2 linked regions of the Macaca mulatta genome follow. The protein of the gene in region 1 interacts with the protein of each later gene in a biochemical or structural test. Links are inferred from orthologs where the notes say so. Each region holds a gene or a part of one and is shown in the gene's direction. Other genes may lie near its edges.

Region 1 (15,030 bases):
AGTTGGGATTCAAATTCTGGCAATGTGGCTCCAGAGGCTATAGTGCTAACCATTATGCTAAAATGTATCTATAGCAAGCAACTAGAAAGAAAGAGATTAAGATTCAAGAATGAGACATTTAAATGAGTGATTAAATAGTGGAATTCTGAGGTGATGAATTCTAGGGAATTAGGGGAATGCCATAAATTATGGTAAACTTGGGGTTTGGGATATACATTAATCAAGTTTTCAAAACAGCACAAATCTCCAAGTTGCATCTATCAGCAGTTCTTAGTTGCAAGCAACAGAAGCTAACTCTGGCTTATTAGGCAGAAAATGAGTTTATTAAAAGCTTAAGAACCATTTTTAAGGTTAAATTTCTAGGAACACCTAATATCACACTACCCAAACAACTGGATGGAGGAACCCTGTCTTTGGTAGGAAACACCAGATGCAACAATGAGCTCTGCTGTCATCTAGGAATATTGTAGCCATTGTTGTTGCTACTGTACACTAGAAATACCGCTGCTGCCAGGGCAGAACTGTGAGTGGACAGTTCAACTCTTCCTTCTTGCATCTCTTAACTTCTAAATCAGACAGTGAGAAGGAGGTGTGTCTGACTGACAGAGCCTAAGTCAGATCCTGCATTCTTGCAAAGGAAACTAGGAAATGAGTTTTTGCTTCTACCTTGGTTAGACAAGGTTCATGCTATGGGACATTCCTTAAGCACAAAAAGAGTGTTCAAAAGATATTAAGCAACCATCAACATAACTAACATCCACTACAAAGAACACCACAAATAAAACCTTACCAAACAAACACAATTTAGGAGAATTTGTGACATACATTTGCTTTAGCTAAGAAATGATGATGATTCGAAATTGAACCATAATACAAACAAATCTTGAAATGTATACATTAATAAAAGGTGTCGGGGGGACATGGGTAGAAATATGAACACAAGCATACAACCCACAGCTTAAAAAATTGATGGCAAAGCCAATTTTTATATTTAAAAAGCAGAAATAGAAACAAGTAAAATGATAGTGAAAACTAACGATGCATTAATAAGGCAGCATCCATCCCCCAAATTTCAGAAAATGTCTGTAAATGTACATGGTAAGATATATGCAACGTCATCCAGTATGCATATGAGAATACTAATTTAGAATCCTAAACAAATTTGAGTTTATGTATACCAACTTCTAGGAATATTTAATAACTTATTTTGCAAATTCCAAGACAGTAAATTTTAGTAATATACAAGAATGAGTCTGTGGGTTTCAGTAAAAACTTGAATTTTTGGATTAGTTCATAGCCCATGAAGGAATTACCAATCAGGCTGCTGGTTTTTATGTGGCATTAAGTTGCCCAGAGTCTCACCTTAGCTTCAATTCTGTATGTTTTTTGTTTGTTTGTTTTGTTTTTTGAGACCGAGTTTCATTCTTGTCGCCCAGGATGGAGTGCAATGGCACAATCTCAGCTCACTGCAACCTCTGCCTCCTGGGTTCAAGTGACTCTCCTGTCTCAGCCTCCCAAGTAGCTGGGATTACAGGTGCCTGCCACCACCCCCAGCTAATTTTTGTATTTTTAGTAGAGACAGAGTTTCACCATCTTGGGCAGATTGGTCTCAAACTCCTGACCTCAGGTGATCCGCCCGCCTCGGCCTCCCAAAGTGCTGCAACGACAGGTGTGAGCCACTGCGCCCGGCCTAATTCTACATGATTTTATAGGTCCGCTTCTCAACACTCTCAGACTGTGTGGTCTGGCAGCAGAGATTCTTAGGAGAAAGAATTTGACTCCGTGTGGGTCACATGCCTCCTTCTGAATCAATCAGTTATGGTAGGGAATTAGTCACCTGAAACAAATCTGGCTGCTGAGGCCTTTCTCTTCAGGAGGGCCTATGAAGACACTTCCTCAAAGGCCTCATATTTGTTTACTGAAACACCAACGACATCTGAGCCATATAGATAATGTCAAAGCAATCTGTGGTCTTTTTTAACAATCTTGATGGTCTGAGAATTCAGGTATTTTGGAATATAGGTGAGGTGACAGCGTCTAAGGGGGAATTAGTGTAGAGATAGCTTCCTGATTCACATCATTTCTCTATTTCATAACTAAATTTTTCATTAAGCACACCATCAAGCTTTTTCACACAGCATTACGTTCACCAGCACCTCTAGTAACAAATCTACCCTCTATATTTCCTCCCTTCCCATTGCATCAGCTGCAAGAAAAGGAATGAGTCACTGCTCTCTTCCCCATTGCTTTCACCTCATCCTTTCCAAGGTCAACACTGCGGAAGGCAGATAGGCTGAATAATGTCATTTAAGAGACTCCTCTTTTCCCAGGTGGAAAGAGATCTTGCATAAGTTTTCCCAAATCATCAGGATAACCTCCCATCAGCTGATCTAAAAATGTTTAGACTAAGAAATTATATTAGTGAAAAAGTTACACTAATTTTTGTGAGACGCATTCTTTATATTGCCAATTACGTATAGTAATGATTATATCATGAAATGTGTCAGATAAACATAAGCTGTAATGTATTTGATTATAACACTTAACTCTGCTTGTGTATGCTCAGTCTTACAGAAGCTCAGTCAGCATGGCCATCAGCCTACAACTTTCAATGCCTTCCCATTGCACTCTGCACAAAATCCAACTTCTTGTCCTAACAGCGCCACATTTGATCTAGCATTGTCTGTCTCCTTATATTTGTATGCAAGCTAGCTCCTTAAAGATGTCTTGTTTGCCAATATAGCCCCTAGTCTGAGTACAGAGCCTGAGACAATGCAGGTGGTCAGTAAATATCTGTTGAGTAAATGAATGGCTATCATATGGACGATGATTTTCCTGTTACTAACTACATCCTAAAGTAATGGAATTGAGTCAGCTTCAAAATAGTATCCACTTATTCCTATAGAGATCAGAAACAATCAGCTTACTGCCAATGCTTGCTCAAAAGGCTCAGAATAAAGTACAATAGGTTATAAATATATAACAGGTTATGAATGGCAGCATTTCCCGAGTGTGTTTCTAGCAACACCAGTGCCACAAAATATTTATTTAAAATAGCATTCAAAGGTTATATCTTATGTCTGTCTACTCATCTCCATTTGAATGTCTAAGAGACATCTCAAATTTAACATATCACAAACTGATTTGATTTCACTAAACATACATACATCCTCCCAGTAGCTCAGACCAAAAACCTCTAAATTTTCTTGACCACTTACTCTTATATCCTCATCTAATCCATTAGCAAATCTTGTTGGCTCTACCTTGAAAGTATATCCAGAATCTCTGCACTTCACACATTTTCAGTGTCACCACCTTGGTCCAAGCCACTATATTCTTTTCCCTGGATTGTTATAGTTGCCTTCTCATTGGTCTCCCTACTTGGGTCCCTGACCCTCTCCACTTCAGTCTATTCTCCACACACTAGCCAGACTGATACTTTCCAAAGGAAAGTCAGATCATGTCACACACCTGCTGAAAATCCTCCATGGTTTCCTATCTCACTCAGAATGAAAGCCAGTCCTTTTGATGGCTTGCATGGCCCTACCTGAACTGGACTCTGGTTATCTTTCTTTCTTTTTTTTTTTTTTTTTTTGAGACAGAGTCTTGTTCTGTTGCCCAGGCTGGAGTGCAGTGGTGTGATCTCGGCTTACTGGAAGCTCCGCCTCCCAGGTTCACGACATTCTCCTGCCTCAGCCTCCCCAGTAGCTGGAACTACAGGCGCCCGCCACCATGCCCGGCTAATTTTTTGTATTTTGTTTAGTAGAGACGGGGTTTCACCATGTTAGCCAGGATGATCTCGATCTCCTGACTTCATGATCCACCCAACTCGGCCTCCCAAAGTGCTAGGATTACAGGTGTGAGCCACCCGCGCCCAACCAACTCTGGTTATCTTTCTATACTCATTGTCTATTACTTTGCTCCAGATAACTGCATGCATAGGAGGCTTCTACCTCAGGGCCTTTGCACTTGCTGTTCCTCCACTTGATTGAGGAGGTCTTTCTTGCCTATCCTTCATAAAATAAGAAATCAACTCCAGCCCCTGATCAGTTTTCTCCAGTCCCCTTCATTGCTTCACTTTCCTTTAGAATATGTATCATTAACTGTCACGTGTTCGCTGTATTTGCTGAGTGTCTGCATCTGCTGTCTAGAATGTAAGCTCTATAAGGGCAGGAGTTTTGTTTTGTTTCATTAACTGCCATGTTCCTAGTACAAAGCCTGATCAAATAAGTCATGTGTCTGAGTGTCTGTGCTGAGGTGGGGGAGATATTTCAGAAACAGCATTCCTTGGAGTTTGGGAACGAAAAAAGAGTTGTAACTTGTAGCCTTCTGACCTTTAGCTCACAAAACAGAAGTACTTTAACAGGTACAAGATGAAATGACTCAATATTTAAAATACTCAACTATATGCTACATGAAACTGGCTATTTCTATAACTTAATTTCCTAACAGCTTTAAAAGATACTATAGGTGAGATGAAAAAGAACAAGTCATCTTTCTAAGCCTGAGATTCATCTGTAAAATACGCCGGGCATTGCTGGGAGGAGTGAAAATGATCACTTACTCTGTGTCTAAGATTGACACCTGATTTCTTTCTTGCAGATATAAAATATTTTCATTTCAACTTTTCTTTAAAAAGGAAAATTGTGGCTTTTTTCTTACAACTGTAAAATTTGAGGAATTAAACAATTCTAGACTCCTCTTCAGTGCCCCATCTTGATCACTGTTCCACAACCACTATCCTACTGTCAGCATGGTACAAGCTCAGCTGGACCAGCATGATAGAAAATGTCCTTAGAACTGGTAGGGATAAGAAAGAGATGTATCAGAATGAGGAGGAAAGTGTTTGAAAAACACATTTAAGGCCGGGCGCAGTGGCTCATGCCTGTAATCCCAGCACTTTGGAAGGCCGAGGCGGATGGATCACCTGAGGTCAGGAGTTGGAGACCAGCCCGGCCAACATGGTGAAACTCCGTCTCTACTAAAAATACAAAAATTAGGCGGGCGTGGTGGTGGGCACCTGTAATCCCAGCTACTCGGGAGGCTGAGGCAGGAGAATCGCTTGAACCCGGGAAGCAGAGGTTGCAGTGAGCCGAGATCGCGCCACTGCACTCTAGCCTGGGCAACAGAGCAAGACTCCGTCTCCAAAAAAAAAGAAAAGAAAAGAAAAACATATTTAATATTACAATTTTATTTTTCAGAGGAGAAAAACCCTATAGATTTGGTAAGAGAAAGAAAAGTTCAACATCATTTTCTTGGTTGATGGGAGTGCACTAAAGATATTGAGACTCAACCAAAGGAATATCCCATTGCGGGTTGTGAAATTTTTGTGTTTATCAGGAGGTAAAAGCTTTTATAAGAGCCTGAGAAACTCTTATTTAGACTAACCCACTAAAAATATTCACAGTTTAAAAAATAAACGGAAAAAGAGTCCCAAAAACGTTAATAGACATATCCAACTCAGAAAACTGGGAAGTGGCTCAAAGGGGACTTAAACAGAGATCCTTCTGAGTTCTAGTCCTGTTCTCCAACATTATATATTGGCTACGATTAATCAAGATTTAATTGTATACCAGCTGCCGAAATGTTTCCCGTACAATAAAAATCCTTAATATGAAACAGGTTTCATATCACCAGTCGAGTTCTTTACTGACAAATTTCCGACCTTGCGTCCCAAATCCATATCTATATCTCTTCAGCATTTACTAAATGCTTCTTTCGCATACCATTAAGTCACTTAATACAACAATTCTGCCAGCTCAATGGTACTGTACCCACTTGGTAGACGACAAACCGAGGCTAGATGAAATTAATCATAAAATTAGCGGCACTGAAATTTAACTCAGTGCAACCCCAAAGCTCCTTCTACACCAAACTGCTCCCTGTAAGCAAGGAAACAGAACTCCTGGAACTTGTCCGCAGAGAATGAGCAGGGCTTTTTGCATGGTCTCGGCCATGGTTAGCCTGCCTTGTAACCCGCAGGTAACAGAGCTACGGAAATCAAATGAATCGCTGTCAAGTCGGTGCAAGACAACTATTCAGCACATTTCATGGTGACCTGGTCTCAAATGAACAGACTGAAAACCAATTTCAGAATTTCTTTGTAGTGTTTCTTAGAAACCAGCCACTGTCCACTGCTTAGAAAATAGGGGGCTGTTCCCTCAAGTGGTCAAAACGGGCCTCTCACTAGAGCTCGCCACTTGTTTAGCCGGTGTAAGGCCAAACAATCCTGCAAATTTCCCGCAACCTCCCGAAGGGGTCAAAGCCCACGCCCCAGCAAAAGCACAGGCACTCCCCGCCCAGCGAAGATAGGCGCATGCGCCTACCCGTCCTCTGAAGCTACCACCACGTGGTGGCGCCACTTCCCCCCACGCCCGTTTCACCCATTCAGCCCGCTCTTTCGAATACCTTTGTCCAACTCCATAAGGGCAGAGTTGGCATCCAGTTCCTGTTCGCCATAGCCGGCATCTGCCAGGAAAGACTTAGTTGAGTTTGACGCCATGACCCGAATAGTTACTCGACTAGCCTAGTCAGAAAGATTGCAAACTCTACCCCAGAACCGCCATCTTCTCCCGCCGCCTTCTTGTTGGATTTTCCTCCGCGCGCTGTCAAGCCCTGTTACGCATGCGCCCTGGTCACCCCGCGGTTCGCAGTCGCCTCTGCTGCCCTCTGCGCAGGCGCTCAAGGAGCTCTTGGACTCCAGGTTCCCGCGGCTGGGAGAAAAGGAGGCGGGGATCCGAAGGGGGAAATGACTCTGAGGCGCCCGGACGTCGCTCGGAAGCCAATCAGAGAGCGTGACGTCAGTTTGGCGCGGAGTTTGGCGGCCGGGGCTTACAGTGGCGGGAGTTGGAGGCGATAACGATTTGTGTTGTGAGAGGCGCAAGCTGCGATTTTTGCTGAACTTGGAGGCATTTCTACGACTTTTCTCTCAGCTGAGCCTTTTCCTCCGGCCCTGATGCTCTTCAATTCGGTGCTTCGCCAGCCCCAGCTTGGCGTCCTGAGAAATGGTGAGTAACGGTCCCAACCGCTGCTCGGGGCTGGCGGGATTCATCTACCCCGAAACACACGCCACCTCCGACCAGGGCCGACTCCAATTCTGAACTCAGCTTCTGAGTTCTCCCATGGCAAGGGTAAATTAGTGTTAGCTGGGACTACTGAAGAAAGCTGTGCTTTCATCTCCTCGGAACACTTGTAATCGTAATCGGGCTTTTAAAATCGTAACGTAGGCATGGACGTCGAAATAACTGCCTTCCAAGGCCTCTTACAGCTTACATCTCCATTGCGCGTTAACGGGAAAATGCATGCATTTGTGTGTATATGTTTCTCTCAACAGTTATTTGAGATGGTCAAAACTCATACTCATTGATTTATTCATTCGTTTGTTGTAGAATCTTAGTGAGCCCAGCTATTTGCTATGGGTATATACCAGTGAATATGACCCACTGTTAAGGAACTCAGTCAAGCAGAGAAGACAGGATATCTGCTTCTAACAGGATCAAAATCTTTTTTTCCCCGTTTACTACATGGTCATAAACATTTAGAGTGAAAGATGCTTGTAACCACATCCGCCAGAGATGACCCCTGTTAATAGATTGAAGTATATTATTCCAGATGTTTTCGACGCTAGAGGTAATATCTATTATTTTCAGAAATGGGATCAAAATGTCCTGTTTTTTCACTTTAATGGTATAAGTTGAACGTATTCCCATGTTAATATGTAGAAATCTAACTTTCTTACGCTAAAACATTGGCAATAAGAGATTTGAGGCTAGGTTTGGGTGTCATCAACTTAAACTTTTTGGTAAGTTTCTGATAAGGAAGGTAAGTAGGCAGACTAACCTTGGACAGAAATAAAATCTCACTCATGTGAACATCGACTATAGCCAGAGGTTCTTTTTCCTCTTGAAACCATGTGGAAAAGGAACCTGAGAAGGGAATTTTTATGTTCAGGGATGAGTCTAGGAAAATGATATTGAGAAAGAGACTGAGAAGTAGTCCCTCAACTTCCTGCTAGCAATCTGAAACTTTATACCATTCTTATTTCTTTCCCTCATAGATAATCTTTGTAATTATACTCTAAATGCTCCTCTTTCTCTTCTGGGACTTTGTTTGACTTACTTCTCTGTCCTCTGTTTAAGAGTGACTATGCACAGTGCTACCTGGGTTTTATTATACCTCCACACCTTACTATATGTGTGTCCTGGGGGAGCTGTTCAGACTGTTTTGTGACAGATTTTCTCCTAATTCTCCATGTGTTTACCTTTCCCTTCCCTCTTTCCTGTTCACGAGTACTCATTCGTTGTTACACAATAGACACTGAAATTCATTCACTATTATATGTTACCCACTGAAATCTATAGAATCATCTCCTTTCCTCTTCAGTGTTGGTGTTCCCTCCTTGGCCCCTTTTCTTCTTCTTCCTACTTCTTTGGATGATCACAGCCATAACCAGGGCTTCTTCCACTTCTATGTACATACAACTTTCTATTTCTTATATGGTAAGTTCTCACTTAATGTCTAGATAGGCTCTTGGAAACTGTGACTTTAGGGAAAACAATGTATAACTAAACCAACTCTACCATAGGCTACTTGATATAAACAAGAATTAAGTTCCAGTGGCATATTTTGGTCATACAAACACCACTGAACTTCTAAATAAAGACCCAAAACACTTTTAATATTAAATGTTGAAATAATTGTGTGCTATACATACATTTGAGAAAGATTAATAAAAACAAGTGAGATAATTATTTACCCAAGTTTGGCGTATCAGTGAGTGACCTCGGTCATAGTAGTGGTGGGCTAAATCAAGGAATAAATGTTTGCAAACTGAAAATTGGAGCACCTCCTACAACCACCCAGTTCAAAAACAATCACAAATATGGCAGCTCACTGAGCCCTTTCATACCAAATCGTTTGTCATTCATTTGTATGATTATTGTAAAGTTTACCATTTTTATTATATAATTATTTGTATTCATTCATTTTCTGACACACTTATTCCAGCTCAGGACTGTGGGTGCCCGGAGCCTATCCTGGCAGCTCATGGTACAAGGTGGAAACCAGCTCTAGACCGGATGCTATTTCATCACAGGAAGCACTCACACACACCCATTGTCTATTGGGACCATGTAGACATGCCAGTGAATCTAACATACCCATCTTTGGCATGTGGGAGGAAACGAGAGTACCTGGAGAAAACCTCTGTGAACATGGGGAGAACATGTACAAACTCCACCCAGCCAGTGGCCTCAAACAGGAATTGATTTTTTTTCTCATGAACAGTATGAGGAAATGACATTGTACAAAATGATGTTATTGGAAGACTTCATGTACCTGAGATTCATTTCTGTAAAAGCTGTGTGGGTTGATTATCACGCAGACTGTCAATCCCACAAGCATCTCAAACTCAAATACCCAAAACTGAACTCAACTTCTCCCCCAAACCTGCTATATTACCAATTTTAGGGAGTGGCCTCATTATTTAAACCAGTTTTCCCAGCCAGAAACCTGAGTCAATTAAAGACTTCCTCATCTTCCTCATAGTTACACATTCAAAACATTTCGTTAAAATCTCTGTGATTATGCATCTTTACTGTATCCTGGATGTGTTCTATTTTTACCATTCCATTTCCCTAGGTTGGGCCCTAATGCCTTCTTGTCTGGATTGTAAGAAGTCTCCCAAATGGCCTCCTAGTTTGTCTGTCTTCACTTTATTCTCCACATTGCTGCTCATGATCCTTCTAAAATGGAAATCTGACGACTCTTCTGTGTATTTTCAAATTGATATCTAAAAGTTTTTATCACAAATTTAAACAAATGCAAAGAATATAATTTCTGACCATATTGGGAATAAATAAAAATGCTATATCACTCTTTTAAGTGTATCTAATATAATGTAAATACTGTAGTGATTTGATAATCACGTCATCCATTTTTTAGAAACATACGAACAAACTCTTTAACTGCTAGAAATTCCATATAGCTGCTTTTTCCTCTTGAATTTATTTCCATTTCATTTCTCCCACAGTAATTTAATTTTATGCTTGAAAAGCTCTTTTACTGATCACTCTTGTCATACCCCTCTGTGTCAAAAGATAATTTAAATTGCTGTTTTCTGTCATAAGCCTCTGAGTGTTAAAACTTCTTTATGGATTGAATTTTCAATTCAATTATTAGTACTATATGATTGTTTAAAACAATATAGATTACCAATTTTGGTAATTATTAACCAAAAGTAAAATTTTGTTGGAAGTACATCTTTTAAAGAGATGAATTTGGGTGTTTATGATTCCTTTATTGAAGGAATTATTTATCTGTTAAGGTTCCAAAAGTTTATTTGTTTTTATTTAAAAATATTTGATACCCAAAAGTTTTTATTCTTTGGATCAATGCAAGGTTTAAGATTGGGGCACAGGAATGCCTTTCTTTTATAAAGTGGAAGAAAGGAAGTAATGAAGGGAAAGGAAAAAAGTGATACCTCAACCTTCTCAGAGACATCAGGTTTTTCAGACAGGTGAGTTTTAGAAATGCATATATAGTATCCAATTGCTTATAAATGGAGATAACATTTTGAGAAATGGATCATTAGGTGATTTTATCATTGTGCAAACATCACAGAGTATACTTAAAGCTAGATAGTGTAACCTACTACACACCTAAGCTGTGTATTTTTCCTAGGCTATAAACCTGTACAGCATATTACTGTGTTGAATACTGTAGGCAACTGTAACACAATGGTAAGTGTTTGTGTATCTAAACATAGAAAAGGTTCAGTAAAAATAGGATATAAAAGATAAAAAATGGTACACCTGTGGAGGGTGCTTACTATGAATGGGAGCTTGCAGGACTCGGGGTTATTGTGAGTGAATCGATGAGTGAGTGGTCAGTCAGTGTGAAGACCTGGGACATTATGCTACTGTAAACATTATAAACACTCTATACTTAGGCTGCATTAAATTGATTAAAAAATACTTTCTTGAATAATAAATTAACCTTAGGCTTAGCTTACTGTAACTTTTTTTTTTTTTTGAGACGGAGTCTTGCTCTGTTGCCCAGCCCAGGCTGGAGTGCAGTGGCGTGATCTCGGCTCACTGCAAGCTCCGCCTCCCGGGTTCACGCCATTCTCCTGCCTCAGCCTCCCGAGTAGCTGGGACTACAGGCGCCCACAACCGCGCCCGGCTAATTTTTTGTAATTTTTAGTAGAGACGGGGTTTCACCGTGGTCTTGATCTCCTGACCTTGTGATCCGCCCGCCTCGGCCTCCCAAAGTGCTGGGATTACAGGCGTGAGCCACCGCGCCCGGCCAGCTTACTGTAACTTTTAAACTTACAAACATCTTAAATTTTTTAACTTCTTGACCCTTGTGGTAACAGCATAAAGCACAGACACATTGTATAATTGTGCAAAATATTTTATTTCTTCATATTCTTATTCTATAAGTTTTTTTATTTTAAATTTTTTTCTTTTTTCTTCTTAACTTTTCGAACCTTTTGTTAAAAACTAAGACACAATAGGAATTTTTAGGCTTCATTATAATCTTATAAGACTACCATTGTGTATGCGGTTTGTCTTTGGCCAAAATGCCATTACATGACATATGACTGTATATCGTAGTTGAGTACAATAGTACCTCCTTATCCTTGAAGGATATGTTCCAAGACCCAACCCTATGTATGCTGTGTTTTTTACTATACAGACACATACCTATGATTAAGTTTAATTAGGTACAGTAAGAGATTAACAATAACTAATAATAACAGAACATTTATAACGATATTCTATAATAAAAGTTATGTGAAGGTGGCCTCTCGGAATATATCATTGTACTATACTTGCTCTTCTCGTGATGATGTGAGATGATATAATATCTACAACATGATGAGATGAAGTGAGATGAATGATGTAGGCAGGCACTGTGATATAACATTAGGCTACTACTGACCTTCCAACTATGTAACAGACAAAGCAGCGAAGTGACTAAAGAGCAGGTAACATATATGGCACGGATACTCTGGACACAGATGATTCATAACCCTGGACAGGTCAGAGTAGGACAGTGTGAAATTTTCTTGCTACTCAAAATGGCACACAATTTAAAACTTATGAATTCTTTATTTCCGGAATTTTCAATGCAATAGTTTCAGACTATCGTTGACCATAGGCAACTGAAACCACAAAAAGCAAAACCACAGATGGGGATGACTACTGTATCTGGAAATTTAGTCTCTGAAAACTCTCATGTTCTTGTATACTACTTGGAATATGTGCATGTAACTCTAGGGGCTTAAGTTGTACAATGAGGAAATAATAGCTTTTTCCAAATGTGTTGTGGAGGTAAGCATTACAGTTTCATGTTCATAACACAATAAGGATCCAAAAGTAGCTTAGGGTGGTTCATCAGTGAAGTGTGTATTGCAGGGATTGCATAAGTAGAGGAGTAGGCAAGGACCAATCACTCACCATTCATTGGTGTTTGGATGTTAATTGTAGGCAGAGACGCAGAGTTAAAGTCATTGTTTAATTGTAAAAAATTGCAGGTTTTTTGGAGTGTATCATCTTCATTTCAACCAAGTTGTTCAAAAGTCCCTTTTGAGTTTGCATTTTGCAGTTGATTTTTTTTTAATTCCAAAACATGTATATTTACATAACCTTTGAACAGAGGCTTTTGTTGTTTCTACACACTTATTCTGTAGGTTAATACTTGTGAACTCAACGTAACTATTGCATTCTTTTTTTTTTTTTTTTTTTTGGAGACGGAGTGTTGCTCTGTCGCCCAGGCTGGAGTGCAGTGGCGCAGTCTCGACTCACTGCAAGCTCTGCCTCCTGGGTTCACGCCATTCTCCTGCCTCAGCCTCCTGAGTAACTGGGACTACAGGCGCCTGCCACCATGCCTGGCTAATTTTTTTTGTTTTGTTTTTGTTTTTGTTTTTATTTTTAGTAGAGACGGGGTTTCACGGATTAGCCAGGATGGTCTTGATCTCCTGACCTCGTGATCCTCCCGCCTCGGCCTCCCAAAGTGCTGGGATTACAGGCATGAGCCAACGCACCCAGCCTATTGCATTCTTTTAGTGGTCTTTAACAGCTCCTTTACAATGATATCTGATGTTGAAATTATGACATGATGGCCCCAGAACTAATTATTAAATTTGGATTAAATTTTTTGGTGCCCTTCTATTGATTCCTTCAGGTTATGTCTATGAACATCCAAATGTAGATTTGTCTGAGGTTATGTCAAGCTAGGATGTATTCTCCACATAGTACTTTTGATGAAAAGTGAGAATTCAGAGTACCCTAAAATGTGAGTTTGTTATGCTTTCAATAGATTGTAAACTCAGTGATTCCTCCAATGCTTATTGAACATTTGGTTTTCAGTAATTACTTGTTGAATGAATGTTTCTTTTATATGTTTAAAATGTCTTGACCACAAATCAGTATGATAAAAACAAATCTCTGAAGATATCTTACTATGTAGGACCATAGTGCACGTTAGATCTCTGACCCAAGCAGAATAAACTTTTCTTCCACCCTGAGTTTCCTGTTCTCTATTCTAAATTCAGTGAAAATTTACCCATCTTTCAAGACCTCCTGTAAAGACTGCCTGACCCACTGCCACTAGCCAGGGCTAACTAAATGTTTACTAGGGGTAGGTACATAATGCTTCACTTTACAATTTCTCTAATATCATTTAAGATACTATAAGCGTTGCTATTAACATTTTAGATTCCTACAATTTCAGCAGTAAAGGAAAAAGAAAGTAAATTTGGTGAATATGTTACTGGCTATAGTAGTTGCATTGATATATATTATTTTCTTTGGCTCTTTGACCACTGGATTTTGTATGATGTTCCAGCATAAGAATTTAATAGAAAGGGATAACAGTTTTAATGGAATGCTTTTGTGGTTGTCTCTTTGGTAGGAGAAGGAGGAAGATCTTTCTTAATATGCAAAGGCCTCTTATTTCTTCTAATCTCAATGTGCTAGTGAGAGTCTTCATTTTAGATAGTAAGCCCAAAGCTATACCTCCCCAGAAGTTGGAAGTGCTTTTTCATTTTTTCCTTAGGACTCTTTTAAGGAAATACCAGAAACAGTGTCTTCCATAGATATTAATAGTAAGTGGATCTATGTTAATATCTAAAGTTTCTTAAGAACAAATATTTACCTCTGGATTTGTTAAAAATGCTGAAATGTGATGCTCTATTGGAATTCTATAAGGAATTGTCTTGTTTTAGGATGGTCTTCACAATACCCTCTACAATCCCTTCTGACTGGTTATCAATGCAGTGGTAATGATGAACACACTTCTTATGGAGAAACAGGAGTCCCGGTTCCTCCTTTTGGATGTACCTTCTCTTCTGGTAAGAGAATTACTCTCTAGGCAAGGCTTGGACAGAAATGATCTATTTCACATTTACAGGGCAAATATACTTCAAAAAGTAAACTAGGTAGATGTTAGAGTTTTTGTAAAAACTGTTGTCTTTTGATTTATAAAATAGACTTTTCTTAATCTCTATGCATCATTAGCATAACTATATTTCTTCTAAAGCATAGGATTATTATAGCACCATTTTTAAAAAACCAATATAAGGAAATGGTTGCAAAGGTTCAGCTACAATGAAAACTGTTTTACCCAGTAGATACATACCCTTTGATCTGGTTGAATGTATCTTTCTGTGACTCACTGGGGAATATATGAACAGAAATAGAAGTACTTTGGCCAAGCTCAGTAGCTCATGCCTGAAATCCCAGCACTTTAGGAGGCCAAGGCGGGTCTGGGTGCAGTGGCTCACACTTGTAATCCCAGAACTTTGGGAGGCCAAGGCGGGTAGATCACTTGAGGTCAGGAGTTCGAGGCCAGCCTGGCCAACATGGTAAAACCCCATCTCTACTAAAATTGCAAAAAATTAGCTGGGCGTAGTGGCGCATGCCTGTAATCTCAGCTACCTGGGAGGCTGAGACAAGAGAATCACTTGAACCTGAGAGGCAGAGGTTGCTGTGAGCCAAGATTGTGCCATTGCACTCCAGCCTGGGT
Region 2 (14,817 bases), on another chromosome or scaffold:
CGGACCTCAGGTGATCCTCCCACCTCGGCCTCCAAAAGTGCTGAGATTACAGGCGTGAACCACCTCGCCCGGCCTAAACCTTTCAAACCTGAGAATGAAAGGATCAAACTGCCAGAGGGGTCGGTGTGCTGGAGTTGCTAAACTGCTGGGAGACTCAGGCTTCCCAGCTCATTAGGAGGTATCAGGGGTCAAAGATCGGGTTCCGGTCAAGCCCGCGCAGAACCGGAAGTCCTGGATCCGGTCGGCTCTGAGCCCGGGGCTCCTGACGGGCGACTCACGCTCCAGAGGCGGAGCTTCAGCAGCGGGAGGGGGAGGAGTCTAGGGCGTCCCAATGGCAGATCGGGTGTCTTCCATCGCAGCCAATCAACGTCGGGCGACGGTCAAATTTAAACCCCCCCCCACCTCCTCCCCCGGGACCTGTCGGGAAAGCGTTTGTAGTTAGTGCGACGGCTGGACCCGCCCCGCCGCCTAAGAGGCGGGAGAAGGGCGTGGCCTCCCTCCGAGTTCGCCTATCACGACAGGCAACCTGCGGAGAGGCGGGCGGCGGCGCCAATCGGGGCGAACAGCTGGAGCCCTGCGGAGCAGTTGGCTGCAGTTGTTGCAACTTTTTTCGAAAGCTGGGTTTCCCGGGAGATCCCAGGCGGTGACAGAGTGGGGTCATGGCTAGAGGTATTTGCCCAAGTGGCCAGCGCCGGGGCGGCTGGGTCGGGGGTCGTGCTGGAGGGGTGGCCGGGGTGGCGGCAGCGTCTGCGGGGAGGCGTCCTCCTCGGGTGGTTCGGGGCGAGCTTGGGGACCCGCGTGGGGGGTGTAGGGGTGCTGCTTCGGAACCCGCCGGCCCCCCTGAGGCTCCAGATGCCCCCAGAAACCCCTCCCACTGCCGTGCTTCTGTTTCCCCTCTATGAAGTGAGCACCTGCGGGCCTGCCTCTCCAGGGCAGCAGATCCATATGTCACAGCTCTTTGGAAACTAAAGCGCAGGGCACCTCCAGGGAATAGGTGTTATTGATAGAAGTGGGGCGGGGGTGGGAGTGAGGCTTCGCCCACTTTGGGGCTCTCTCTTTTTGGGAAAGGAGGTGATCCCGAGGCGAAGGCGCAGATCGATAACCTGCATGTTGGGGTGTGCGTCAGGGTGGACACCGCGGCAGGCGCCTTTCCTCCTTCCCCACGTCCTGAGTCAGCTCTGCGCCGCCGGAGCGAGGGCCGGGCCCTGCTGGCCCACTTTGGGGTGAAACGGGTTCATGGCACCTCGCTGGCGCGGTCGTTCGCCCCGCATCTGGTCAGGACTTCGCCCCTCGGTAGATGGCTTGGGTGGGCTTGTACAGCCCTGGGAGGCGATGTCCTGCCTGAAATCCTTTGCATACTTAGTTGGCTGTCAGGCCAGTGCCTCCCAGGTATGCGGCAAAGAGCTCTCCAACCGCTTGGTCATTTCCAGCCACTGCGTCTCCTTCACGCTAAAGGGCCAAAAACTTGAGCGTGAAAGTTGAGTAGAATTAGTTTTTTAAAAAAATCAGTTGGGGTATTATATTTTTCTAAAAATTCCAAGGCATCAAGTGTTAGTAGGAATTTGCTTTAGTGCAGTATGCTCCCTATAGCAATAACAATGAATAAAATAATGATTCATTCAACAAATATATATTGGGTCCCTTTGTTTTCAGGCCCTGAAATCAGTTGCATCATTTATTCTCCCAGCATCCCTAGAGGGTCTTTTGGATTAAGACTTCCCCAGAGCCTGATGAAAAAATGAGGCATAGTAAACTTCAGGTTTTAGAGCTTCATCACCCAACTCATGGAGAAAATTAAGACTAATATTTTTCCTTAGAAAAGTGTTAAGCATCTAAAAGTATATTTAACATTATCTGACTAATTTATCTGACAAATTTTAATAAAACTATGCTTCCTGGCTTCATTTTTCTTATTACAGTACAATCATTTAACTACTTGTTTTAAAAGTAATGCATTAATGAATCTATGAAGAAAACTAACCATCTATCATTGAAATACTTAAAATATGGCTAAATAATAATTATGGCCGGGCACGGTGGCTCACACCTGTAATCCAAACACTTTGGGAGGCGGAGGCAGTCGGATCACCTGAGGTCGGGAGTTCGAGACCAGCCTGACCAACATGGAGAAACCCCGTCTCTACTAAAAATACAAAATTAGCCGGGCATGGCAGTGCATATCTGTAATCCCAGCTACTTGGGAGGCTGAGGCAGGGAGAATTGCTTGAACCGGGGAGGCAGAGCTTGCAGTGAGCCGAGATCGCGTCACTGTACTCCAGCCTGGGCAACAGAGCGAGACTCCATCTCAAAAAAACAAACAACAACAACAACAAATAATAATAATAATAATTATCACTGAGGGCCAGGTACTTTATTAACTCAATTCATCTTTACAAATTGTTATTCTCATTTTTTAGAGGAGGAAGCCTGAAGTCCAAACTTGCTGTCCAGACTCTAGCTTGGCTGGGTCTTTGCTTGTGCCACACAACCTCCCTTACTTACCCAAAGCGAAGATAATGTTTGTCAGCTCCTCCCGTGGTCAGCTTACAAATCACCTATGTAATTATTAGTTATTGATTCTCACTGTCTCACTTGACCCCAAAATTAGTTGCCTGTTTCTTAGGCTTTATTGCCCTTGCAAGCTATTAAATTGGATATTTAGATCTAGATTATTATTTTTTTTCTTGAGACAGAGGCTCACTCTATGTTGCCCAGGCTGGAGTGCAGTAGAGTGATTTCAGCTCACTGCACCCTCCCTCTCCTGTGTTCAAGTGATTCTTGTGCCTCAGCATCCCAAGTAGCTGGGATTACAGGCACCTGTCACCACACCCAGCTAATTTTTGTATTTTTAGTAGAGACGGGGTTTCGCCATGTTGGCCAGGCTGGTCTTGAATTCCCGACCTCAGGTTATACGCCAGCCTTGGCCTCCCAAAGTGCTGGGATTACAGGCATAAGCCACCATGCCTGGCCAATATTTAGATTGTAAATACCAAATCATTTATAGCACTTCAAATGAACAGTCTTTTTCTTCTAGAAAATTGGGCTTTGAACTTGCAATTCACTTTGAGAGCCCTGCTGGGCCACAAAAACAAACTGTTCAGATGCCAGGCAATGCCTCACTCATTTTGAAGTTTTATAATCATGCAAATATTTACAATTCCAATATATTAGTCTCAGGGGTCAGTCCACCTACCTTTTGCTATTTCTACTGCCATTGTTGAATGGTCTCTTAGTTGGTAGACCTCCTCATTTTGCCATCTCCAGTTCATTATCCCTTAGCACCTGGTTGGGGGGGGTCTCCAAAAATAGACTTTTTTTTTTTTTGGGAGACAGAATCTCACTCTGTCACCCAGGATAGAGTGCAGTGGCATGATCTTGGCTCACTGCAACCTCTGCCTCCCGGGTTCAAGTGATTCTCCTGCCTGAGCCTCCCAAGTAGCTGGGATTACAGGCATGCAAAACCATGCCAAGCTAATTTTTGTATTTTTAGTAGAAATGGGGTTTCGCCATGTTGGCCAGGCTGGTCTCAAACTCCCGACCTCAGGTGATTTGCCCACCTTGGCCTCCCAAAGTGCTGGGATTACAGGTGTGAGCCACCACGCCCAGCCAGTATATTTGTTATATATGTATAAACTTGCAGAGAAAGGACTGTTTTGAAACTTACATTGAATGATTTGTGTTTACATCTTCTAGGTACTGGAGCTGCAGAATTGAGAGGAATAGGTGCTAGGCTTGTAATTTGTCCCCTGCAATTGGGGGCTCAAATGCAGAGAAAGCTACGACCATGAGTGGGGTGTGGGGTGCGGCTCGGTATACTAGTATATGAAATGGACAAGATGATCTATGTGGGTGCTTCCTGCTCCAAAACCATTATTCTCATGGTAATTAAGCTGCAAAACTTCTCTGCCTTGCAGAAGTGGAAAACACTTTCAAATGGCTCAACCTGGTTATGAGAGTGTCACTTTCGAATTCTCTTTCACCCTCTGGGTAATCTTTTGGATATTCAACTGTAGTAGGCTCTGCAGAGGGCATGGGCAGAGTACCTAGCCCACTGGAGTTAGTGGTTGGGCTGGGGGACCCTGCCTTGAAGGATGCTAAAGCATGAGCTGATTTGGGAGGAATTCCAAATTGTCTGAGCAGTGACCTGTCACCACCTAATCCTACTCAGTCTTATCTGTTCTAATGGGAGGCGAGGGAGGCCAGGTGGGGGGATGGCTACAAACAGCCATTTGTATATCTGTGGATGTTGGAAGGTGCTCCGGTGGATTATGGAATTCAAGGTTCTTGGTTTTTACCCATGAGGACACTGAGGCCCAGACTGGGGAAGTGACTTGGCAATGGTCACAAAACACCTCTGGGCAGATGCAGGGAAATAAGTCCAGCCCCTGACTCCCAGGCCATGGCCCAGGCTGCAGAAGCTGGATGCCTTGAAGTGTCTTGTTTGCATCTATGACTTTGCACAAATGCAGTGAATCTGGCTATGGGCCCTCAATCCTTAATGGCCACAGCATAATGGTGCAGGGCAGTGAGCTATGCTGAAACAGCCACCAGAGTGACAGGAACCTCATCTGCCTATGGGGCATTTTCTCACGGCGGGATAGGAGAACAAGGTGACTTGTTAAACCCTTCTGTAAGACCATTTGCTCCTCCCAACCTCCATTTCCTCCTCTGTAACCAGGAAGGGTAGTGGCTGGGAGGGCAGGCCTTGGGGTCAGCTGGCCGGGGCTGGAAACCCATCTAGTTCTGAGAACTTGGCCAAGCTCCTCACTTTCTCCATCTGTTGAAATGAGATAATAATGGTGTCTACCTTTGCAGGGCTGCTGTGAGGTTTCAATGAGATAGCGGCAAAAGACTCGCCCAGGAAACCGATCATTATAACCCCTGGCTATGTCTCCCCAGGGCTTCCTACCGGTCAAGTACAGCCCTTCTGGGTTTGACACCTGGCCCCATCACTTCCTAGTTTTGTGGCCTGGGACAAACCCCAGCACTTCCCTTGAGTCACGGTGTCACCATTGTAAGCTGGGATGCCGACAGGACCTGCCCCCGTGGGCGTGCGGGGAGGATTCAATGCCTGTGAAACTCTCGGTGGGCACAGCGCCGGGCACACCCGAGGGCCTGGCCTGGCGCGTTCACCGCTGCTGATTTCGCCTGGCACAGACGGGGCTCCCAAAATATCCGCGGAGCCAGCGGAAAAAGGAGCCGGGCGGGCTGGCGGGCGGGCGGGCGGGAGCCTGGGCTGTGATGACAGTGTTTCCCACCCCTTCCTCCGCGAGTGGCTGAGGCTGCGCGCGAGGGGGCGCGCCCGAGCCGGGATTCGCCGAGCCCGCCCGCCCGCCCGCCCTCCGGAGCGGCCTGGCGGCGCCGCCCCTGCCAGCCCCCTCCCAGGGCCGGGCGCCGGACGGTGGGCGGCTGCGAGCAGGCGGGCGGGCTGCGGAGGACGCGCCGCCTGCGCCTCCTTCCCTGCGTGCCTCGCCCCGGGCCGCTCGGGGCTGCCGCGGTGCGCGGGTGCCGGGCCCTGCCTCACCGGCCATGGGGGAAGGGGGCGCCGTGGGGCGCCGCCGGCCCTTCCCCGGGGCGCCGCGGCGGCGCTGGTGGCGGCGGCAGCAGCAGCAGCAGCGGCAGCGGCAGCGGTGGTGGCCGGGCCGCGACGGCGGCGGCGAGGGCGCGGGGCGCGCCGCCATGGGCCTGGCCGGGCTGCAGGTGGGTGTGTCGGGCCCGGCCGCGCGGGGGGCGGGCGGCGCGCGGGGCCCGGCCGGGCCGGGCGGCGGGAGGGCGACGCGGGCTCCGGCCCGGCCCTCCCGGCGGCGCCGGCGGCTCACCAGCGCCGGGGCCTCGAAATATGGCTGCGGCGGGAGGCGCCGTCGCGGCGCCCGGCCCGGGCGGCCCCGCTCCCCGCCCCGCCGCGCCCTGAGCGCCCCCTCCCCCGCTTCCCCCGGGTCCCCCTCTCCAGGCAGGAAGATGTCCAAGCCCCGCGCGGTGGAGGCGGCGGCGGCGGCGGCGGCGGTGGCAGCGACGGCCCCGGGCCCGGAGATGGTGGAGCGGAGGGGCCCGGGGAGGCCCCGCACCGACGGGGTAAGCAGGCACCCTCCCCGCACCCCTGCGGCGCGCCGGCCGGGCCGGGGCCGCGAGCACATGGGCGATCCCGGGTCCCTGCCCGCGCCGCCCCGGAGCGCCCGGCCGGGCCGCTTCCTTTGCTGCCGCCTGGCTGGGAGTGGCGCCCACACGGCTCCGCCATGAGCCTGGCGGTGTTTGACCTCGGAAAAGTTTGACTGCGCCTTCATGGCGTCTCCGCAGCCCGAGAGCCTACTTCCCCGGAGGTGGCCGCCGTTCCAGGCTGTGCGCGGCCTGCCCGGGCCCCTCGGAGAGGTCACGGGTCTCGCCGCCTTGGTGTTGAATGGTCCCCGAGGCGGCCAGGGCCCCGCTTTGCTTCTGGGGACGCCCTCCTCCCTCTGCTTACTCAGAGGAGGGGCCGGCCCCACGCCCAGAGACGCCCGCAGTGACCTGAACCGCCCCACCGCCCCGTCCTCTCTCTCACGCCCAGGTGCGGCTTGCGACAGAGTGGCCGCCCTGAATGCGCTGGTTGTGGCTCCTGCTCTTCCCAGCTTCCCCCGTCACGCTGAGAGAAGTCCTTCCGTCGCAGCCCTGGGAGGCTGCGGGGCTGCAGTGATTTGAGAGGGGTCAGGCTCGGGCACGCATGGGGCTCTGGCTGTACTGACAGGCCCTCCAGCCGCCCTCAGCACCAAGTGGTTAATCAGGTTCCCCGGGGCCTGTTTCTGTGCTGAGTCCCTGCGGCTCCTGCCAGGGGAATGAACTCCTAAAGATAGCCTAGCTCTTCACATGCCCGGGTCCTTTTGACCTCCCTGTTGCGGGTAGGCTGTCTTCTTCCTATATAGACCTTGGTTGCAGCCGGCTCTCCTGCTGGCCAGCTGTCCCCTTAGCGAATTAGAGACCAGCGCGTTCAGGAAACGTTTCACTGGACCTGGGATTCTAAACCTGCCAGTGCTCTCCTGAGACAACGGGGGCTGGCATCCCCTGATAGCCCAGTTTTTGAAAAACGGTGTTGTCTGATTTTCATCTTTTGTATTCCTCCTCCTCGTGAATGCTCTAGGATCTTCTTCTTCAAGCCTCTTTCAGAATATGCTTTTGTCTTTTTAGGAGAATGTGTTTACCGGGCAGTCAAAGATCTATTCCTACATGAGCCCGAACAAATGCTCTGGAATGCGTTTCCCCCTTCAGGAAGAGAACTCAGTTACACATCACGAAGTCAAATGCCAGGGGAAACCATTAGCTGGAATCTACAGGAAACGAGAAGGTAAGCTTTTGAAATGGCCTCGTTCTGATCCCAGCTGGTCGGGTTGCGGAAGCCTCTCTCTTCTGCAAGAATGCACATATATATTTATCCAGCCGTTTCAGTCTCAGGTTTGGGAGGTTTGAGCCATGTTCTGTCTTGCTGCTAAAAGAGTGGCTTGTCCCAGGGTGTGTGCCCTGTTGGTCTGACAGGTTCTCCCTGCTTTCACAAGAGTTAGCATGTCCTTCAAGCTTGACTGTCTTGCCTAGTTGCAAAAATAACATACCTGACCCACAATTAGAGAGGCTCACAAGCGCTGAAAGTGCAGAAGTCATGAATTCAGGTTGTATAGACCAGGCGATTGCAGACCTAACTGATGTGTTCATGCAGGGAACTGACTTCCTTCCCTTTTATGAGTTAGCCTTGACCCCATTTCTTTTTCTTTTTTTGAGATGGATTTCTGCTCTTGTCCCCCAGGCTGGAGTGCAGTGGCACGATCTCAGCTCACTGCAACCTCCACCTCCTGGACTCAAGCGATTCTCCTGCCTCAGCCTCCTGAGTAGCTGGGATTACAAGCGGCCACCACCATGCCCACCTAATTTTTGTATTTTTGGTAGAGACGGGATTTCACCATGTTGGCCAGACTGGTCTTGAATTCCTGACCTCAGTTGATCCACCCGCCTTGGCCTCCCAAAATGCTGGGATTACAGGCGTGAGCCACCGCGCCTAGCTGTCTTGACCCCATTTCTAAAGTTTCTTGCCACTCAAGCGTTCCGTGTTAGTCTCTGAAGCAGTATTTTATGCAATGAGATTTGGAGTTAAAATGTTGAACAAGAAAATACAGGGTTAATGAAGACTGTCTGGCCTTGCAAAACAAACTGAAACCTCTTAGACATCTTGCTCTAATCCAAATATTCCCTTTCAAAGCTGCAGTGGGGAGTGTCAGCTTTCCCCAATTCACCATGCTCTCTTCTAATTAAAACCTGTCTGAAAGAAGCAAAGCCTCTGGCTGCCAGCAGCTGCATACAAGGAAGCCTTGTGTTCGCTAACAGAAAGTGTCATAAATGATGATTTGGCGTGACCTCTGGGGCCGGATCTGAGAACCAGGGCTGGGCAAGCCCTGAACTGGGGACAGGAGCTCACCCTGGGCTTGATTTCCCTGGTACACAGGGCAATATTGTTTTATTTGATCTTCAAATGACTTGGGTTCCAATCTTAAGTTTGCCACCCGAAAGAAGGAGGCTTAGATAGGTTGCTGCTCTCTTCTGAGCCTCCGTTCTCTCATCTGTAAATGGGGAGAGAGGAGTCTGACCTCACACAGGACTGTTTTGAAGGGTGGTTGCAGCATGGATGCCAAAGGGCTTTGTGATGGGCTCCGTGTGCCAGCTCTTCACCCCCGGACTGCCAGCTCATCCCTGGACCTGCAGCACTTAGAATTCTTGCCCATAGGATTGGGGAGAGGCACTATCTATAAATGGTACTTGCCCAGACTCTAGTCCTTTAAAATAGGGCAGTCTTGGCTGGGCGCGGTGGCTCACGCTTGTAATCCCAGCACTTTGGGAGGCCGAGGCGGGCAGATCACGAGGTCAGGAGATCGAGACCATCTTGGCTAACACGGTGAAACCCCGTCTCTACTAAAAATACAAAAAATTAGCCGGGCGTGGTGGCAGGCGCCTGTAGTCCCAGCTACTCGGGAGGCTGAGACAGGAGAATGGCGTGAACCCGGGAGGCAGAGCTTGCAGTGAGCCGAGATCGTGCCACTGCACTCCAGCCTGGGCAATGGAGCAAGACTCTGTCTCAAAAAAAAAAAAAAAAAAAAAAAATATATATATATATATATATATGGCAGTCTATACCTTGTACCAAATGGTGGCCTGGTATACAAGCTAGTGTATTTGGCTCATAGTTTTACTAAATGGCCATGATTAGAATCTTGGGTCAGAGTCTGGGCATGGTGGCTCAGGCTTGTAATTCCAGCACTTTGGTAGGCCAAGGCAGGAGGATCACTTGAGCCCAGGAGTTTGAGACCAGCCTGGGCAACATAGTGAGGCCTCGTCTCTACAAAAATGAAAATAAAAAAAATTTGCCTGGCATGGTGGCATGCATCTGTAGTCCCAGCTGCTTGGGAGGCTAAGGCACAAGAATTCCTAGAGCCCAGGAGTTTAAAGCTGCAGTGAGCTATGATCATGCCACTGCACTCCAGCCTGGGCAACAGAGAGAAACCCCATCTCTAATTTAAAAATATAAAGAATTTAGGTAAGCTGGACTCTGGAGACCCCAAGGTCCAGGCTCTTCTTGTCCATGATTCTGCTGTGATACAGACTGAGTGACATATGATGTTCACGGGCACCACACACTCCTGGGCCTGATGTCCTGGCTTTAATTCTCTCTGATTTTACCCAGGAAGGCATGTAGAGGAGGAAGAAAGATCTGGATGGTTTTTTTTTTTTTTTTTTGAGACGGAGTCTCGCTCTGTCACCCAGGCTGGAGTGCAGTGGCCGGATCTCAGCTCACTGCAAGCTCCGCCTCCCGGGTTCACGCCATTCTCCTGCCTCAGCCTCCCGAGTAGCTGGGACTACAGGCGCCTGCCACCTCGCCCGGCTAAGTTTTTGTATTTTTAGTAGAGACGGGGTTTCACTGTGTTACCCAGGATGGTCTCGATCTCCGGACCTCGTGATCCGCCCGTCTCGGCCTCCCAAAGTGCTGGGATTACAGGCTTGAGCCACCGCGCCCGGCCGATCTGGATGGTTTTAATGGGTTTTTTTGTTTGTTTGTTTGTTTGAGACAGAGTCTCGCTCTGTTGCAGTCTGGAGTGCAGTGGTGCGATCTTGGCTCACTGCAAACCTCCATGTCCCGGGTTCCAGCAATTATCCTGCCTCAGCCTCCCAAGTAGCTGAGATTACAGGCATCCGCCACCACGCTCGGCTAATTTTTTCTTTTCTTTTCTTTTTTTTTTTTTTTTGAGACGGAGTCTCGCTGTGTCTCCCAGGCTGGAGTGCAGTGGCGTGATCTCGGCTCACTGCAAGCTCCGCCTCCTGGGTTCACGCCATTCTCCCGCCTCAGCCTCCCAAGTAGCTGAGACTACAGGCGCCCGCCACCACACCCGGCTAGTTTTTTGTATTTTTAGTAGAGACGGGGTTTCACCATGTTAGCCAGGATAGTCTCGATCTCCTGACCTCGTGATCCACCCGCCTCGGCCTCCCAAAGTGCTGGGATTACAGGCTTGAGCCACCGCGCCCGGCCTTTTCTTTTTTTTTTTCTTTGTTTGAGACGGAGTCTCGCTCTGTCGCCCAGGCTGGAGTGCAGTGGCCGGATCTCAGCTCACTGCAAGCTCTGCCTCCCGGGTTCACGCCATTCTCCTGCCTCAGCCTCCCAAGTAGCTGGGACTACAGGCACCCACCGCCTCACCCGGCTAGTTTTTTGTATTTTTTAGTAGAGACAGGGTTTCACCGGGTTAGCCAGGATGGTCTTGATCTCCTGACCTCGTGATCCGCCCGTCTCGGCCTCCCAAAGTGCTGGGATTACAGGCTTGAGCCACCACGCCCGGCTCGGCTAATTTTTTCTATTTTTAGTAGAGATGGGGTTTCACCATGTCGGCCAGGCTGGTCTTGAACTCCTGACCTCAGGTGGCCTACCCATGTTGGCCTCCCAAAGTGCTGGGATTACAGGCCGGAGTCACTGCACCCGGCCTAGTGTATTTATTTATTTTTCTGTTTTGTTAATCTAGATATAGTTAATATATCATAATGTTCGTTTTAAAGCATATGAGTCAGTGGTTTTTAGTATATTCACAGAGTTGTGGAACCATTACCATGGTCTACTTCCAGAACGTTTCCATCACCCCAGAAAGGTACCCATTAGGCGTCACCTTCGATTCCCCTATCCTTCTAGTCCAAGGCAACCATTAAAGTACTTTCTGTCTCTATGGATTTGCCTGTTCTGGACATTTCATATGGATGGAATCACAAAATACGTGGCTTTTGTGTCTGGCTTCTTTCACTGAGCATCATATTTTCAAGGTCTATCCATGGTGTAATAAGTATCAGTGCTTCAATCCTTTTTTTTATTTTTGAGAAGGAGCCTCTCTCTGTCGCCCAGGCTAGAGGGTAGTGGTGTGATCTTGGCTCACTGCAACCTCCGCCTCCCAGATTCAAGTGATTCTCCTGCCTCAGCCTCCCAAGTAGCTGGGATTATAGGTGCGCACCACCACGCCTGGCTCATATTTTTATATTTTTAGTAGAGATGGGGGTCTTACCATGTTGGCCAGGCTGGTCTCGAACTCCTGACCTCCGGGGAGCCACCCTGCCCAGCCCTTCATTCCTTTTTATGGCTGGATAATATTCCTTTGTATGGATAGGCCACATTTTGTTTATTCATCTGTTGATGGACATTTGGGTTGTTTTCACTTTTTGGCTATTCCAAATAAGCTGTTATATTCCTGCATAGATTTTTTTGGGGACATATGTTTTTAATTCTCTGGAATAGATGCCTAGGAGTGAAATTGCTGGGTCATATGGTAACTCTATGTTTAACTTTTTGGGAAGATGCCAAACTGTTTCTAAAGCGGCTGCACCATTTTACATCTGTGAGCAGTGCACTATTTACTTAATTTTTTTTCTTTTTTTTTTTTTTTTTTGAGACAGACTCTCACTCTGTCGCCCAGGCTGGAGTGCAATACGCTTGGCTCACTGCAACATCCGCCTCCCAGGTTCAAGCAGTTCTCCTGCCTCAGCCTCCTGAGTAGCTGGGATTACAAGTCCCTGCCAGTATGCCTGGCTAATTTTTATATTTTTAGTGGAGATGGGGTTTTACCATGTTGGCCAGGCTGGTCTCGAACTCCCCACCTCAGGTGATCCACCCACCTTGGCCTCCCAAAGTGCTGGGATTACAGGCATGAGCCACCGTGTCGAGCCTATTTACTTAGTTTTTTAAAAGGAAAACATGTTTTAAAAATGTAAGCAGTTTTCCAACACTGGCACTCCACAAGTGTTTTAAGTGACAGATCATTGCCGTGTGTCTCCTGATACCCAGGCCAGTCTGCTGGGGCACCATGCTGAGAACTGCTGTGAACCTGGGGCTTCAACCCCACTAGAAGGGGGCCTTCTTTTTCTTTAGAGTCTGAAATGAAGGGTGCCGGGCAGCTCTTGGGGAAGTTTCTGCTTTGTCACCTTACTCCTGTCCCTTAATGCTGTCCCAGCCTTCAGGAATGGAGCTTTTGATCTGAGTCTGCAGCCTGATTCCTGAAAGTTATTGATCAAGCGCCCTTGCCAGCATGTCTGTCTCTGGTGCCTCTGCCTCACAGGCTCTCTATCTCCCACGTCAAGACACAGAAGTCTAAAACCTCCGTCCAGTGTCTTGGTCAAAAAATCGAGCTGGAGCTAGGCACTCCTCCCATCATAGCCCATAGCGGACACGGGGCTTAGCAGGCCAAGGGCACTCCTGCCTGACAAACCCAGGATCCTCTCTTCTCAAAGCCTGTCTTAGAATGCAGCTGGTGGTCTAGAAATTGAGAGACAGAGTACAGAGTAAACCCCTGTCTTTCCTCCACCTCCGCCTGCAGAGAAAAGAAATGCTGGGAATGCAGTACGGAGCGCCATGAAGTCCGAGGAACAGAAGATCAAAGACGCCAGGAGAGGTCCCCTGGCACCTTTTCCAAACCAAAAATCTGAAGCAGCAGAACCTCCAAAAACTCCACCCTCATCTTGTGATTCCACCAATGCAGCCATCACCAAGCAAGCCCTGAAAAAGCCCATCAAGGGCAAACAGGCCCCCCGAAAAAAGTAAGTGTCCCCTTCAGTCCTCTTCCTAACGTGGAGCAGTTTGGTTCCTCTGACCCCAGGGAAGCCTGCTCAGGTGCCCGTGGGGGTACAGTGGCCACCTCTCAGCCTCTCTTACGTCAAAGACTCAGATGCCCCGAGTCATCAGCAGGGATGCCACTGTTTGTCAGTTTCTGGATCTGGCATGGGTTCAGAGTTCAAGAGCCTCTCCTTCCTCCCCTCCTCACCCACCCCAGCATAAGCAGCCCTTCTTTTTTATTTTTTTTTATTTTTTTATTTTTTATTTTTTATTTTTTATTTTTTTTTGAGACGGAGTCTCGCTCTGTCGCCCGGGCTGGAGTGCAGTGGCCGGATCTCAGCTCACTGCAAGCTCCGCCTCCCGGGTTTACGCCATTCTCCTGCCTCAGCCTCCCGAATAGCTGGGACTACAGGCGCCCGCCACCTCGCCCGGCTAGTTTTTTGTATTTTTTTTAGTAGAGACGGGGTTTCACCGTGTTAGCCAGGATGGTCTCGATCTCCTGACCTCGTGATCCGCCCGCCTCGGCCTCCCAGAGTGCTGGGATTACAGGCTTGAGCCACCGCGCCCGGCCAGCCCTTCTTTTTTAAATTTATTTTTTTGTTTGTTTTTTTGGTGGTTGGTGTTTTTTTTTTGTTGTTGTTGTTGTTTTTTTTTTGAGACAGAGTCTCTGTCGCCCAGGTTGGAGTGCAGTAGTGCAATCTCGGCTCACTGCAAACTCCACCTCCTGTGTTCAAGCAATTCTCCTGCCTCAGCCTCCTGAGTAGCTGGGATTACAGGTGCGTGCCACCACGCCCTGCTTATTTTTGTATTTTTATTGGAGACGGGGTTTCACCATGTTGGTCAGGCTGGTCTCAAACTCCTGACCTCGTGATTTGCCTGCCTCAGCCTCCCAAAGTGCTGGGATTACAGGTGTGAGCCACCATACCTGACTTGTGTTTTTTGAGATGTGGTCTCATTCTATCACCTAGGCTGGAGTGCAGTAACTCACTGCAGCCTCAATCTCTTGGGACTAAGTGATCCTCCTACTTCAGCCTCCCGAGCAATTGGGACCATAGGTGTGCACCACTATGCCTGGCTAATTTCTTTCCTTTTTTCAGAGACGGGGTTTTGCTGTGTTGCCTGGGTTGGTCTCGAACTCCTGGGCTCAAGTGATCCTCCCGCCTCAGCCTCCCAGAGCATTGGGCTTACAGGCGTGAGCCACTGCGCCCAGCCAGCAGCCTGTCTTTGAAACTCCTCTGAGGCCCTCATGGGCAGGTGAACTGAGTGACCCACAGGCTCCAGTGGACAAAGGTGTTTAAGTGACATCATCTCCAAGGAGCTGTGTGCCTCCTTGGTGTGTGCCTTCTCCTAAGGAGCTGTGTGCCTCTAGGTTTTCAGTCCTGATATTTATTTTCTCCTCTTCCCCTTACCCAGAGCTCAAGGAAAAACGCAACAGAACCGCAAACTTACGGATTTCTACCCTGTCCGAAGGAGCTCCAGGAAGAGCAAAGCCGAGCTGCAGGTAGTTGCGTGCTTTAAATTCCAGTTCGTGGAGGGGCAGGGTGGCCCACTGGGCAGTGCTTGGCATGTGTGTGTGTGTGTGTGTCCTGAGCTTTGTTTTCATCAGCTTGAGGCAAGTATCTTGGCCCTCTGGACTTGGTTTTCTCCTGGATCTATCGGGGATCCTCACAAAGCTTGTCCTGCCTTTCTGATAGGGTCACTGCAGGGCTTGGTTAAGATACTTGTGTGAAGGA

What was found.
Region 2: the proteins of DTL (region 1) and KMT5A form a complex in vitro, tested with the Homo sapiens proteins (2 studies listed by BioGRID, with this or other methods). The link is inferred for Macaca mulatta from reciprocal best matches to the Homo sapiens genes DTL and KMT5A.

Annotation. Positions count from the first base shown.
Region 1 is NC_133406.1:69,764,610-69,779,639, forward strand, and holds the start of DTL (denticleless protein homolog), read left to right. Parts: upstream 1-6,838; 5' UTR 6,839-6,955; coding exon 6,956-7,007; intron 7,008-14,230; coding exon 14,231-14,356; intron 14,357-15,030. Other genes in the region: INTS7 (integrator complex subunit 7), read right to left, coding at 6,409-6,502. UniProt on the Homo sapiens protein: Substrate-specific adapter of a DCX (DDB1-CUL4-X-box) E3 ubiquitin-protein ligase complex required for cell cycle control, DNA damage response and translesion DNA synthesis.
Region 2 is NC_133416.1:130,799,657-130,814,473, forward strand, and holds the start of KMT5A (N-lysine methyltransferase KMT5A), read left to right. Parts: upstream 1-5,383; 5' UTR 5,384-5,529; coding exon 5,530-5,700; exon of another isoform or gene 5,701-5,704; intron 5,705-5,950; coding exon of another isoform or gene 5,951-6,072; intron 6,073-6,746; exon of another isoform or gene 6,747-6,869; intron 6,870-7,155; coding exon 7,156-7,312; intron 7,313-12,848; coding exon 12,849-13,068; intron 13,069-14,497; coding exon 14,498-14,585; intron 14,586-14,817. UniProt on the Homo sapiens protein: Protein-lysine N-methyltransferase that monomethylates both histones and non-histone proteins. Specifically monomethylates 'Lys-20' of histone H4 (H4K20me1).